Ovis aries: one gene and its partners. The protein of the gene in region 3 interacts with the protein of the main gene of each other region in a pairwise test. Links are inferred from orthologs where the notes say so. Each region holds a gene or a part of one and is shown on either strand. Other genes may lie near its edges.

Region 1 (4,433 bases), on a different chromosome or scaffold from region 3:
AAAACATTTTCCTCTCTTTTCATTTAGCAATGCTTTTAGAAAAAAAGGAAACTGTTAACGAATTCTGTACACCTTTTAAAAAGCCAAATAAGCTTCTTGCAGGTTTTGCACCCCCTTAAGATCTTTCTTGGGGGTCTTGGAGCTATCCCTTTGAAATCTGAACATCAAGGAAGATGGGGCCCTGGCTACCTATCTCTGGGAGTTTCAACCTCGAGTTTTAGCTCCAAGATGTAATTCCGATTATTTTCCCTTGGGAGAAAGACAACAGGCATTGTAGTTGATTGCATCTATCTGATGATATAAACGAGTGAGATTTCCTTTTTCTCTTTGCGGTCTCTTAAGTGCATCACAATATGGTTTACGGCTTATGCTAATCATAAAACTGTTTCATTGTTTTCTATATTTTGTGGAAAGGATGCTTTGGTTGGGGGTGGTGACAGGAGAGTTTATTTTTAATTATTTCCCAACTGGGGCCTCCAGTTTGGGCACTTGTATGGCTGATAGCTCCCATTGCCCCTCCATACTTATTTTAAACGGTAAAGGAAAGTGGAAAGAGCACGGAGTTCTGGAGTCCGAAACCTTGAGTTTAAACTGTTCTTTCTTACTAGCATTCTGATGTACAGGCAAGTTACTTCTCTGAACCCTGATTGCCTCATCTATAAAATGAGGATAATAATTCATTATAAAGGGGGTAACTAAACTGACACATACAAAATTCTTTATACAGGAAGGAAACAAAAGTTATCCTAGATTCTGATGCTACACGTTCGTCCTTTCCTTGTGAGTCTGTCAAATCCCAATGGGGTGTCCACTTCATTAACTTGGAGCACTGAGTAACGAGGAAACGAACTCACACTGCGGACCTTACTAGCTTGAAAAGTTTTTTAGTTTGTCAAGTACGTTAACAGAGTCCTCACAAAGGAGATGTTGCAAAGGTATATCAGACTGCGGGGGTCCCCGTATGCAAATACCTGAATTACAGGCTCACCGAGGCCGCGGCAGCTTCCGCACTTCCCCTCGAGGGCGCTCCGGGACGCCCGCGCTGCGCCGCCCGCCGGTCCGGGGGCGGAGATTTGCATGTGCGACAGAGGGAAGAGGGGGAACCACCCAACGAAAACCCCGACCGTCGTTCCCCCTAGCCTGGGAGGGGAGGGCCCGCCCCGAAGTGCTCGCGGGAGGGCAGCCGGCCCTTCTCGACGTCACCGCACCCTCCCACCCCTCCTGAACTTTAAGCCACGCGCCCAAGAACATCCTGGAGGAGGGGGATTTCTCGGGGACCGGCGGCTTTCGCACGCTCGGGGCCGTCACTCCCCGGCTCCCAGCGTTCCCTACGTTCCCGGAGAGGCAGCTTCCCCGACCGGTTCCCGAGCCCACCCGGCATTCAGGAGACGGGCGGGTGGGCGGGGCATGGGCGGGACGGGGCCCGGCAGCGGTCGGCGGACGCTCGCGCGCCGGTCGCAGGACGCTCCGCCTCCGCCCCCGCCCCCGCCCCGGGGTACGGAGGTGAGGGATCCTACGTCAGTCTCTGGAAGTCCCCCTCCCGCTGGGCTGTCCGCCTCTCAGGCAGACCTGCTCTCCGCTGTAGCTGCGCTCCGTCTTCTGGCTTCTGCCACCTGGACGAGCGACGCCGGGTGACCGGAGCGCGAGGATTAAGCGGGTGGGAAGGTGTGAGCCGCAAATCCAGAGGAGGGCGGGAAGGAGGAGGAGGAGGAGGCCCGGGGGTGGTCAGGGGGACTGGGGATCCCGCCAGCAGAGGTCCCTGGGCGGCCCGACTGACGGGCTGAGTGACTGTAGCGGCCTCCGGTCCGGACGCTCGGAGCGGGGCGGCGCTGTGAGCGGAGCAATGGCCTCAGGTGAGTGTTCCCGGCGCGGGCTACCGACGGCCGGGCGTGGGCAGGGTCCCGGACAGCGGGGAGCGAAGGAGTGCGTCCGAGGATCTAACTACTCAGGGTTTCGGGGGCCCAGTTTTGGTTATGTCTCATTCTGTTTTTAAAATCGCCTCTGGTAAGTTTGTCAGCCTTTTAAAAGTGACCTGGTTCAGGGTTTGCGTGCGAAATCGAAGTCACGCTCTGTAACTTGATGCCATTGTAATAGCCGGAACCTTAGACCTTCCAGAAGACTTTGTTTTTGGATTAAGGAAGTAATAAGAATCTAAATAAAGGAGGACGAAAGAGTTCCCGTATTTTTAAATTGATTTAAGTTGAAATGGTGGTGTTTCGTTTTAGAATAGGAATGAGGAACCTTCCGGTCTCAGGAGAGCTTATCTTTTTTTAAGTTCAGTTTCATCAGTTGCCAAGAGGTGATCGCAGTTGTGCTGACAGTTGGACAAATGTGACGCGCCTTTAAAAATCACCAGTGGTATTTTAACAAGTCTTAAGTGGAAATGTTGCTTCAACAAGTGGATCATTTTTACTGTAAAGTGCGTACTTTTTAATTTATGGAGCAGAAATCGAGTTTTGTTCTCTTTTGTTGGAAGGAAGGGGAAAAGAGGATTTTTAGGATCCCCGTGCTTTAAAGTAACGGGTGAGAATGAAAACTTTCTGTCACTTACGTGAATACTTATTTGTAGACAGTAAATGCGGGGATCTCTTGCTTTACCTAGAAACTGCTTAAAGGATGCGGGAGGGAGCCTCCCCATCCAGCTGTGGTTTAGGTTAGCCTGCAACCTAAGGGTTACTAAATCAAGTAGGCTGCTTTGGAGTGGGACCTTCACAGGAGTCTGTCACGGTTCTTGGAGGCACCTTCCCTGCAAGAGTGAGCAGAGGCAAGGAGGCCTAAAGTGTGGATTAACGCAGAGGCTGAAGACAACAGGAGGCTGAAGAAGGAGGCTTGTTTATGTTTGACCTGCATCCTCCCAACACCCTGGTTCAGTGACCCACAGTAGAAAACTGAGGACTACCAGAGAAGAGGAAGTAGAAAGCATAAAGGACTTTTTTTTTTTAAAAACAGGGTTGAGCAGAACAAAGAGGTAGCTACTGCTCTAGGCCAAAAAGGAAATTGGGGTGGTTCACATGACATTTGATTTCAGTTTGTCTGTGGTTTTCTGTGAGAATACAAATGTAGTTTAAAATATTTCAACTTTCTCTTTAGCCACTTCAGTGACCCTAAACTTTCAGATAATCTTGTAAATTCATAAATTCAGACCATGTTGAGATTAAAAGTGCAAAGATGATTGAAACACTTGGTTAATTTATTGACTCTCAGAAGGATTTTGTATGAAAGTTAAAGAATGGTTAGCATAATAAAGTAAACAGAAAAATCAGCCTTCTGGTAATTTAACCAAACTTTGTTGATATATGGTGTGAATGTAACACTTGTAATCCATTCAAAAGAGAGAAAGAAGAATTAGCCATTTATATGGACTATTGTAAGACCCACATCATTTAAAAATGTGGTACAATTTAAACTTGTTTAAAACTGACATTTGTTTTTGTCTTAGTGAGAGGACTGATTTCCTAAATTGAGGGGGGAAAATTTTAAAGGGTAATTATCACCCTCCCCTTTTCTGGAATTATATTAAAATGACACTATTTAAAATGTAACAAGTTATTTAAATTGTAATTCTGTTGTTTGAAAACTACTAAGGAAAAATCTGGGTGTACTTTCCTTAATCATTTGTAAAAATCTTAGAGAAAAAGATTCACAAAATTATAAGCTCCCATCCTGTTTTGAAACAGTAATTTAAGCAAAAGAGTAACTGAAAAAAACTTCTGCTTAGTTTACCATTGTCTAGTTTATAGTTTGTAGTACAGAGTATAAAAACCTCAGAAAGTATTTTTATTGATTACCAAGCATTTAAGACTGTTTCTTCATTTCTCACCGGATGTTATATGTAAATAGGTGTCTGTAGTTGAATATATGGTCTGTATAATATGACAGTAACATCATAATCTCATAAATAAAATTATATAAGTACTATGAATAACTGGGACTATATGTATGATTCTAAATTTTGTTCAGTTAAACTGTCATATTTAGGATTTCACAGCTTGAGTTCTATCAAGCTGTCTTGATTACTTTTTTTTTTTAATTACACCTTGATTCCATTCTTTTGACACAGTTAATTAGGATAGGCATTAAAAAGAAGTTCTCAGTCCCATCCAAGGTATACATAAGCAGTCCTTACTCTTGTATATTTATGATTCTAATCTGTTTTAAGGTAAATAAAATTAGCTATTTTTTGGTCTGAATTTAAAGCTTCTCCTTATTCCAGTAGAAGGTGCAAATGTTTTTGTGTGCTTTGTTTACTAATAAATAGTACTGTCTTTGGTAAAATATGTATTCAAATTTAGATAATTTATTTTTACTTACAGTTTTAAAAATTATTATTTTTTAAATTGGAATATAGTTGATTTATAGTATTGTTTTAGTTTCATGTGTACAGCATAGTGACTGGGTTGTTTTTACAGATTATATTCCATTATATGTTGTTA
Region 2 (3,642 bases), on a different chromosome or scaffold from region 3:
AGGTAGGCCCTGGCCCCGAGCTGCCGGTGGAGAGTCGTCCTGCCGGGAGCTCTGGGATCGGTGGGAGGGCTCCTCCACAGAAAGAGGGTGGCCGGAGCCTAGAGGGCAGTCCGGGCAGCCAGATCCTCACCCGGCCCCTTTTGGCTCTCCTGTAGTTACTCTGCTGAGGCCAGTCTGTTGGCCAGCCCTTCCTCAATCACTTGGACACAGGTGTCTGGGCTCCAGCCTCTCGTGGAGCCATGTCTCAAACAGACCTTGAAGTTGCTGCCCAGACCTGAGATGTGGAGTGCCCTGGGCCCAGTGCCCACTGCCTGCCTGCTCTTCCTGGATGCCTACTACCAGGCCTGGAGCCAGCAGGTACGTGTTGCCTACTCGCCTTCCCGCCTGCCCTAGGTGCCCCGTCTGTGTCTTAGCATTCTGCCCTCTTTCTCGTGTCTCCACCTGTCCACACCTCCCTCTTGCCACCTTTCCTGCCCTCCACCTTTTCCCTCCTACCATTTTTCCTCTTTGCACCTTCACATCCAGTAGAGCTTCCAAGGAGCCATGTTGGTAGAGGCCAGAGAACCCCAAATAGCAGCTTAGCCTCCCTACGGCCGTTATACCCTCTCATGACCCTGCCAGCACATCCTCAGAGTCTTCTCTCCCTCCAGAAGGGTCAGAAGGCAGAAGCCTCTAAACACTGACTCTGGGGATCTTGGAATCATAGGCTCAGCCAGAGTGCACAGGATAGGAGGATGGGGGCTCCTGGGCCATCAGCTCTGAGTCGCATGGTCTTCCAGCCAGGCCTGTGCCCAGAGGATTGGCTGCAGGATATGGAGCGCCTGTCAGAGGGGCTGCTGCTGCCCCTGCTGAAACACCCTTCTCTGGGCAGCCTGTGGGATTCCCTGAGGTATGTACTATGTGTGTGGTGGAGGTTGGTGAAGGGAGGCAGTTTTGCTCCTTGTGGGGTTCCTGAGTCCATTCAGCTTGAGGGAGACCTGAATCCCTAGTAGGCAGCAGCTGGGGGCTCCAGGGAACATGGGCCCTGTCTGCATGGCCACCTTGACACTGGCCTTGGCCGCAGACACTCCAGCACACCTCAGACCAGAGCCCCCTTGGCTTCTCCACTCTGCCTCCAGGTGCTGCTCCCCTCTGTGCAACCCACAGTCCTGTGCTGTGACCCCTGAAACTGTCTCCAGCCTCGTGTCACTGGGCTGTGCAGGGGGCCACCCCCCTCTCAGTCTGGCTGGCTCAGCTTCCCCCTTCCCGTTCCTCACGGCCCTCCTGTCTCTTCTTAACACCCTGGGCCGGATCCACAAAGGACTGTGTGGCCAGGTGAGTGCTGGGGGCCAAGATTGCAGGACTGTCGGGGAGGGCACCCCTTGGGGAAAGGAGGCCTGTTTTGTCAAACCCTCACTTCCGAGTCTGGCAGGGAACGGGTGGCCGGGGAGCCCCAGAAGGCATCGAAGTCACCTTCCAAATCTGAACACACGTACTCTTCCTCAGCTGGCCACCGTACTGGCTGCCCCGGGACTCCAGAACTATTTCTTGCGATGTGTGTCTCCCGTGGCCGCTCCGCACCTCACCTCCTTCTCTGCGTGGGCCCTGCGCCACGAGTACCACCTGCAATACCTGGCACTCACCCTGGCCCAGAGAGCGGTGGGTGCCCCTAACCCCCCACCCCATCCTGCCTCCCTGGAACACGTGCTGCTGCTAACAGGCCATGCAGCTCCTACTTCCCTGAAGACATGCCCAGAATCTGTGCCTATTGGCACGTATTCTCTTCCTCACTTCTGTTCCCCGTGCCCCCTCACCCCCTCTGCCTCCTCTTCCTCCTTCCCCCTTTTCTGTCCATAGGCAACACTGCAGCCACCAGTGTCAGGCACCGACGCGGTCCTCTGTCACAGCATGGCCTTGGCCCTGCTGGGCCGGCTGCTGCCTGGGAGTGAGCACCTCGCCCATGAGCTGATGCTGAGCTGTGTGTTCCGGCTGGAGTTCCTCCCGTAAGTCCAGGCTTGGTAGCATCAACTCAGCCCTTTCAAAAAGCTGCTGTGGTGGTTGCCAGAGCAGCTCTGAATTGGGAACCGGAAGACCTGGGCTTAATTTTCTTTCTTCCATGGATTACACTTAGCCTGTCTTGAGTTTCCGTTTCCTTATTAGTTAAGTGAGAATGAGGATAACACACTAGGGTATTATTATGAGACTTCTGTGACTGTATGGTTGGAAAATGGTTATAAACTAGCTGTACACTTGTAGAGCTAACAGTTACTCAGTGCTTACTCTTTGTCTCATCCCCCTTAACTATATGTCTGTAATTATTTAACCCTTACTATGAGATGGGTATTATCGTCATTATTATCATCCCCATTTTACTATGTGGGAACCGAGGCAGAGTTCTGTAAATGAGTACCAAGGTAACTCTCTCTAGTGTCCGTCCTCTTAACTGCCATGTGGCTGGTTATTAGGGGGACAGGAAGCAGCAGGATTGGACCTGGGAGCCTCTTGGAGGCCCTGGAGAGTTGGTGGCCTTGTGGGTTCTTGCCCTCATTTTTGTTTTCGGGTTCTGTTACAGAGAAGGAGCATCAGGGGGTCCGGAGGCAGCTGACTTCTCTGACCGGCTCTCCTTAGGAAGCGGCGGAGACCTTGGATGTGGGCGAGGGACTCTCCTAGCTCAGGCCTGCCAGGACCTCCCCAGCATCCGCAGCTGCTACCTGACCCACTGCTCACTGGCCCGGGCTAGTCTGCTCGCCTCCCAAGCCTTGTACAGAGGGGAGCTCCGGCGAGTCCCAGCCTTGCTGCTCCCTGTGCCTAAGGAGCCGCTGCTGCCCACTGACTGGCCTTTCCTGCCATTGATTCAACTCTACCACCGGGCCTCAGACACCCCCTCGGGGCTCCCTCCTGCTGACACTGTGGGCACAGCCCTGCGGGCCCTGCAGTGGGTGCTCATCCTGGAGAGCTGGCGCCCCCGGGCGCTCTGGGCTGTGTCTCCTGCTGCCCGCCTGGCGCGGCTCATGTGTGTGTTCCTGGTGGACAGTGAGTTGTTCCGGGAGACCCCAATACAACGCCTGGTGGCAGCCCTCCTGGCCCGGCTCTGCCAGCCTGAAGTCCTACCAAATCTCAACCTGGATTGCCCACTTCCTGGCCTGACATCTTTCCCGGACCTCTATGCCAACTTCCTGGAGCATTTTGAGGCTGTCTCTTTTGGGGACCACCTCTTTGGGGCTCTGATTCTCCTTCCCCTACAGCGTCGATTCAGCGTCACCTTGCGCCTCGCCCTCTTTGGGGAGCACGTGGGTGCCTTGCGAGCTCTGGGCCTGCCACTGACCCAGGTACTTTCTCAGCCCAGCAGGGCCAACCATGGTCATCCTGTCCTGGGCCTTGGAAGCACTCCTGAGCAGCGGGGTGCTTTGGTGGCCTGAGGTTCTTTATCTTACCTCTTGGGGGCTTTGAGGAGATGAGAAAATACATGAAAAGGGTTTATCATGGTAACTGGCATACCATAGGTGTTCATTATTATTAGTGGCACTGTTCCTTGCTCGTGAGGTGCTACAGTGTAGACAAGAGATGTACTGAAACCAATACAGTTCTCAGTTATTCAGATTCTAGGTGTTAAGTCAGGATTCAGAGAAGGCAAAGATCAAAGTGGATTTTCCATGAGGAGAA
Region 3 (3,600 bases):
CACTCCCAGCCCCTTGACTTACAGTCAGAGTCCACCACCCACCCCAGGTGGACTCTGAGCTAAAGCCTGGGACCCAACATGGTGGGCCCACCCCCACCCCCCACCCCAACCAGAGACCCTGACGCCCCAGGCCAGCAAATATGAGGAGACCCTGCCTAGGTGCCTAGCCCACCCTCCTCAGCCCAAAGCTCGCCTCCTCCAGGGAGCCTTCCTTGCTTCTCAGTGCACACAGCCCTCTCCCAGCCGCCAGTCACAGGATCAGGGGGCTCACCTCTCGCCACTTCCCGAGACACAGCCCCCGCCCCCGCCCCCCCCCCGCTCCCTTTAAACCCCCACCGCCTCCAGCTCCCACAGCTTCTGTCCCGCACGGACGGGTGTCTGTCCGGCTCCCTCTTTAAGTCTCAGCTCAAAAGACACCCCGAGTGCCCTCCCGACCCTCAGAGCCGGCGCTCCCGGGTCACTGGCGCCCGCCCCTGCCGAGCGCGGACTGGAGCCTGGGCCGCCAGCGCCTCCCCCGGGAAGAAGGCAGGAGGGGGGGCCAAGCTGACCGCGGCGACGGCCGGAGCCCCCACCGGCTGGGTCGCCCCGCGCCGCCCGCCTGCAGGGATACGGGCAGCTACCGGGCCGGGACCGTTACTGTGCAGGCGACCCGGCCAGGCGGCGACCTCGAGGGTCCCTCGGACTCTGCGCAGAGACCCCCGAGTGCCCGCGGGCAGCGGCCCCAGGCGGAGAGGCCGCCCCCTGCCCGGCCCCTCCGGCCGCTCTCCGCGCCCCAGACCCGGCTCGCAACTTGTTGCTGAAACGCGGCTCGCGCTCTGCGCTCGGGGCCCCAGTTCGCGCGGGCCCGGCCGCACTCCGCCCGCGGCCCGGCAGGGGCGCTGTACCTGCCTCGCGCCCGCCGCGCGGAGTCGGTCGGCCGGGCACGAGGAACGCGAACGCCGCCGCCGAGCCCTTGCGGCCCCGCGCGGACGCCGTAGGCCGGGACGTACCAAGGCGCGGGCGGGGGGCTCCCGCCGGGCCCCGCCCCCGGCCCCGGCCCCCGGGCCCCGGCCCCCGGGCCCGCGCCCGCCGGAGGAGCCGCCGTCGCGGCGGGAGGCGGATGCCGGCGGCGCCGGGGCCGCGGGGAGGTGCACGGGGCGGGCCGGGCCGGCACCCCCGCGCCATGGGCGCGCCATGGGCACGCCGGGGCGGAAGCGCCGGGGGATCCGGGCGTCGGGCCGCCGGGCCGCGAAGCTTCTAGCTCCCGCGCCGCCGCCATGATCATCCCCGTTCGCTGCTTCACGTGTGGCAAGATCGTCGGCAACAAGTGGGAGGCCTACCTGGGCCTGCTGCAGGCCGAGTACACCGAGGGGTGAGGGGCGCGCTCCCGGCCGCCGGCCTGCGGGGCCCGGGGCGGGGAGGGTTTCCCAGCCTGCGCGGCCCGGGGCGAGGACAGGGGCGCCCGGCCTAAGGGGAGGGTTTCCCAGCCTGCGGGGCCCGGGGCGGCGGGACGGGGGCCCGGCCTGCGGGGCCCGGGGCGAGGACAGGGGCGCCCGGCCTAAGGGGAGGGTTTCCCAGCCTGCGGGGCTCGGAGCGAGGACACGGGGGCCCCGGCCTGCGGGGCCCGGGGCAGGGTCAAGGGGGCCTAGCCTGCGGCGTCGGCGTCTCGGGCGGCTGTCGAGGATCCAGGCTTGAGGGGTTGGGGTCTTGAGGCGGCAGTCAGGGGTCTTGGTCTCCAGGTCAGGAGCAAGGGACGTTCATCAGATCCCAGGTGACGCCGGCAAGGCTTTTATTCCCGGAGCCTTTGCCAGCCCTGTTCTCCAGACCTGCTCTCAGGAAAGCGTCTCCCACCCCCCAGTTCAGGCAGACGAGGGGAGCTAGTTGTCAAGCGCTGGTGTCTGGGGACTCGAGTATTCTGGCTCCACGCCTCCACCGCAGATAGGCCCCTGGCCACCTCTGTCCGTCAGCTCCCTAAGTTCTCCCTGCTATTAGGCCCACCCCGTGTCCTCAAAGACACTGATGCTGGGCAAGATGGAAGGCGAAAGGAGAAAGGAGCGGCAGAGGAGGACGCGGTTAGGTAGCATCAGCAGCTCAATGGACAGGAGTTCAAGCAAACTCTGGGAGATAGAGGAGAACATGAGCTCAGCGAGCTGCAGTCCATGGCGTCACGGACACGACCGAGCGGCTGAACAACAAACCGTGTCTTGCAGACTCACGGGCTTTTTTAGTACATAGGACAAGCTTCTGATCACATAGCCGTCATCATCAGGCTTTTGTGGGGTCCCTTTTCCGTGTTTGCCCCTTGGCACTGCAGTTACCGCCTTACTTGTCTGAGTTTACCCTAGACAAGAGTCTGACTTTGGTCCTTGTGTGGACAGCCCCATCCTTATCAAAGTGTGAACCTCTGGGACCTGGAGTGTGGTAGCAGGTGAGGTTCTCCGTGTAGCTGTGTTGGGTGGATAGGGAAGCAACGGACGGCCGTAGTATCTGCACCAGGCTTCGAGGAGGCTGCTGGAATGACCACAGTGCGAGTGAATGCTGGCAGCCTGCCCCAGACTCCTCCCCGAGATGCCCCAGGCCAGGGCTGCCCAAGCGGCCGCCCCTTTTATGGGTGCCACGCTGGTGCCCACACACAGGAGGCTTTGAGGGTGACTGGGGCCGTGTCTCTGGGAGGTGAGGGGGGCTGCTCCCCCCGGGCGAGGCCCTCTGTCTGCCGGGAGGAGCAGGCTGCAGCCAGATCTCTCCCCACCTGCAGGGACGCCCTGGACGCGCTGGGCCTGAAGCGCTACTGCTGCCGCCGCATGCTGCTTGCCCACGTGGACCTGATCGAGAAGCTGCTCAACTACGCTCCCCTGGAGAAGTGAGCCCGCGATGCCGCAGGGGGCGTCTCACCCATGGCTTGTTCCCCTGGGGTGTGGGGCGCCGGAAGCCACGCCCGCCCACGGCTCTGTTGGCGTGGGTCTTCCTCCCTGGAAAGAACTGTCTAGTAAATGTTTCTGAGGACTGCCAGGAAGTCCTAACAGTTGGTCTGGGTTTGTGGGCTGCCCCGCCGGTTCCTGGGGTTCTACCTGGTGCCCGAGGCCCGCACGGCCCAGGAGGAGGGTGGGCCTTCCATACGGGAGTGCTCAGCACGGGGCTCCCTTCCTCTGTGGGCGCTTGGCCCCACAGAAGACACAGATGTCACGAGTGCTTGGGGTGGGGGCACCGGCGTCCCACAGCGCTGTTCTGGGTGCCCTTCAGCCGAGAACAGAGGTCCCCACTTCCTCCCCCGGTATCTAATGCTCCAGACTTTCTGCGCTCTGAGTGGAGTGCTCCCTGTGGTCACAGCTGCGCATCCTGAGGTTGCTGCCGCCAGAAGCTTCCAGGCTCCACCCACAGCAGGCAGGCAGCTCCACTCCACCCCTGAGACCCCACAGCAGGTGGGAGGTGCCCTGAGGCAGCTCTCCTGGGCATCTGTTCTGAATGGGCTCTCAGTGCCCAGGCGTTAAATGCGTTGCCCTGAAAACCAACTAGAGAGCTGTCTGGCGGGGGCGGGGGTGGGGGGCAGCTCATCGCGGTCCAGCTTAGGCTGAGGCTTCAAACCAGAAGCTGTTGCTTTGGCGGGGCTCAGGCAGGCCCTGG

Evidence for each region.
Region 1: the proteins of POLR2L (region 3) and REL interact in binary tests that used the Homo sapiens proteins (3 or more experiments, as listed by UniProt). The two-hybrid records come from large-scale screens. The link is inferred for Ovis aries from reciprocal best matches to the Homo sapiens genes POLR2L and REL.
Region 2: the proteins of POLR2L (region 3) and RPAP1 interact in binary tests that used the Homo sapiens proteins (3 or more experiments, as listed by UniProt). The link is inferred for Ovis aries from reciprocal best matches to the Homo sapiens genes POLR2L and RPAP1.

Annotation. Positions count from the first base shown.
Region 1 is NC_056056.1:63,129,076-63,133,508, reverse strand, and holds the start of REL (proto-oncogene c-Rel), read left to right. Parts: upstream 1-1,527; 5' UTR 1,528-1,843; coding exon 1,844-1,853; intron 1,854-4,433. UniProt on the Homo sapiens protein: Proto-oncogene that may play a role in differentiation and lymphopoiesis.
Region 2 is NC_056060.1:35,150,705-35,154,346, reverse strand, and holds part of RPAP1 (RNA polymerase II-associated protein 1), read left to right. Parts: coding exon 1-2; intron 3-155; coding exon 156-357; intron 358-779; coding exon 780-889; intron 890-1,118; coding exon 1,119-1,314; intron 1,315-1,485; coding exon 1,486-1,638; intron 1,639-1,836; coding exon 1,837-1,982; intron 1,983-2,551; coding exon 2,552-3,308; intron 3,309-3,642. UniProt on the Homo sapiens protein: Forms an interface between the RNA polymerase II enzyme and chaperone/scaffolding protein, suggesting that it is required to connect RNA polymerase II to regulators of protein complex formation.
Region 3 is NC_056074.1:46,915,096-46,918,695, forward strand, and holds POLR2L (DNA-directed RNA polymerases I, II, and III subunit RPABC5), read left to right. Parts: upstream 1-1,222; 5' UTR 1,223-1,256; coding exon 1,257-1,351; intron 1,352-2,734; coding exon 2,735-2,843; 3' UTR 2,844-2,992; downstream 2,993-3,600. UniProt on the Homo sapiens protein: DNA-dependent RNA polymerase catalyzes the transcription of DNA into RNA using the four ribonucleoside triphosphates as substrates.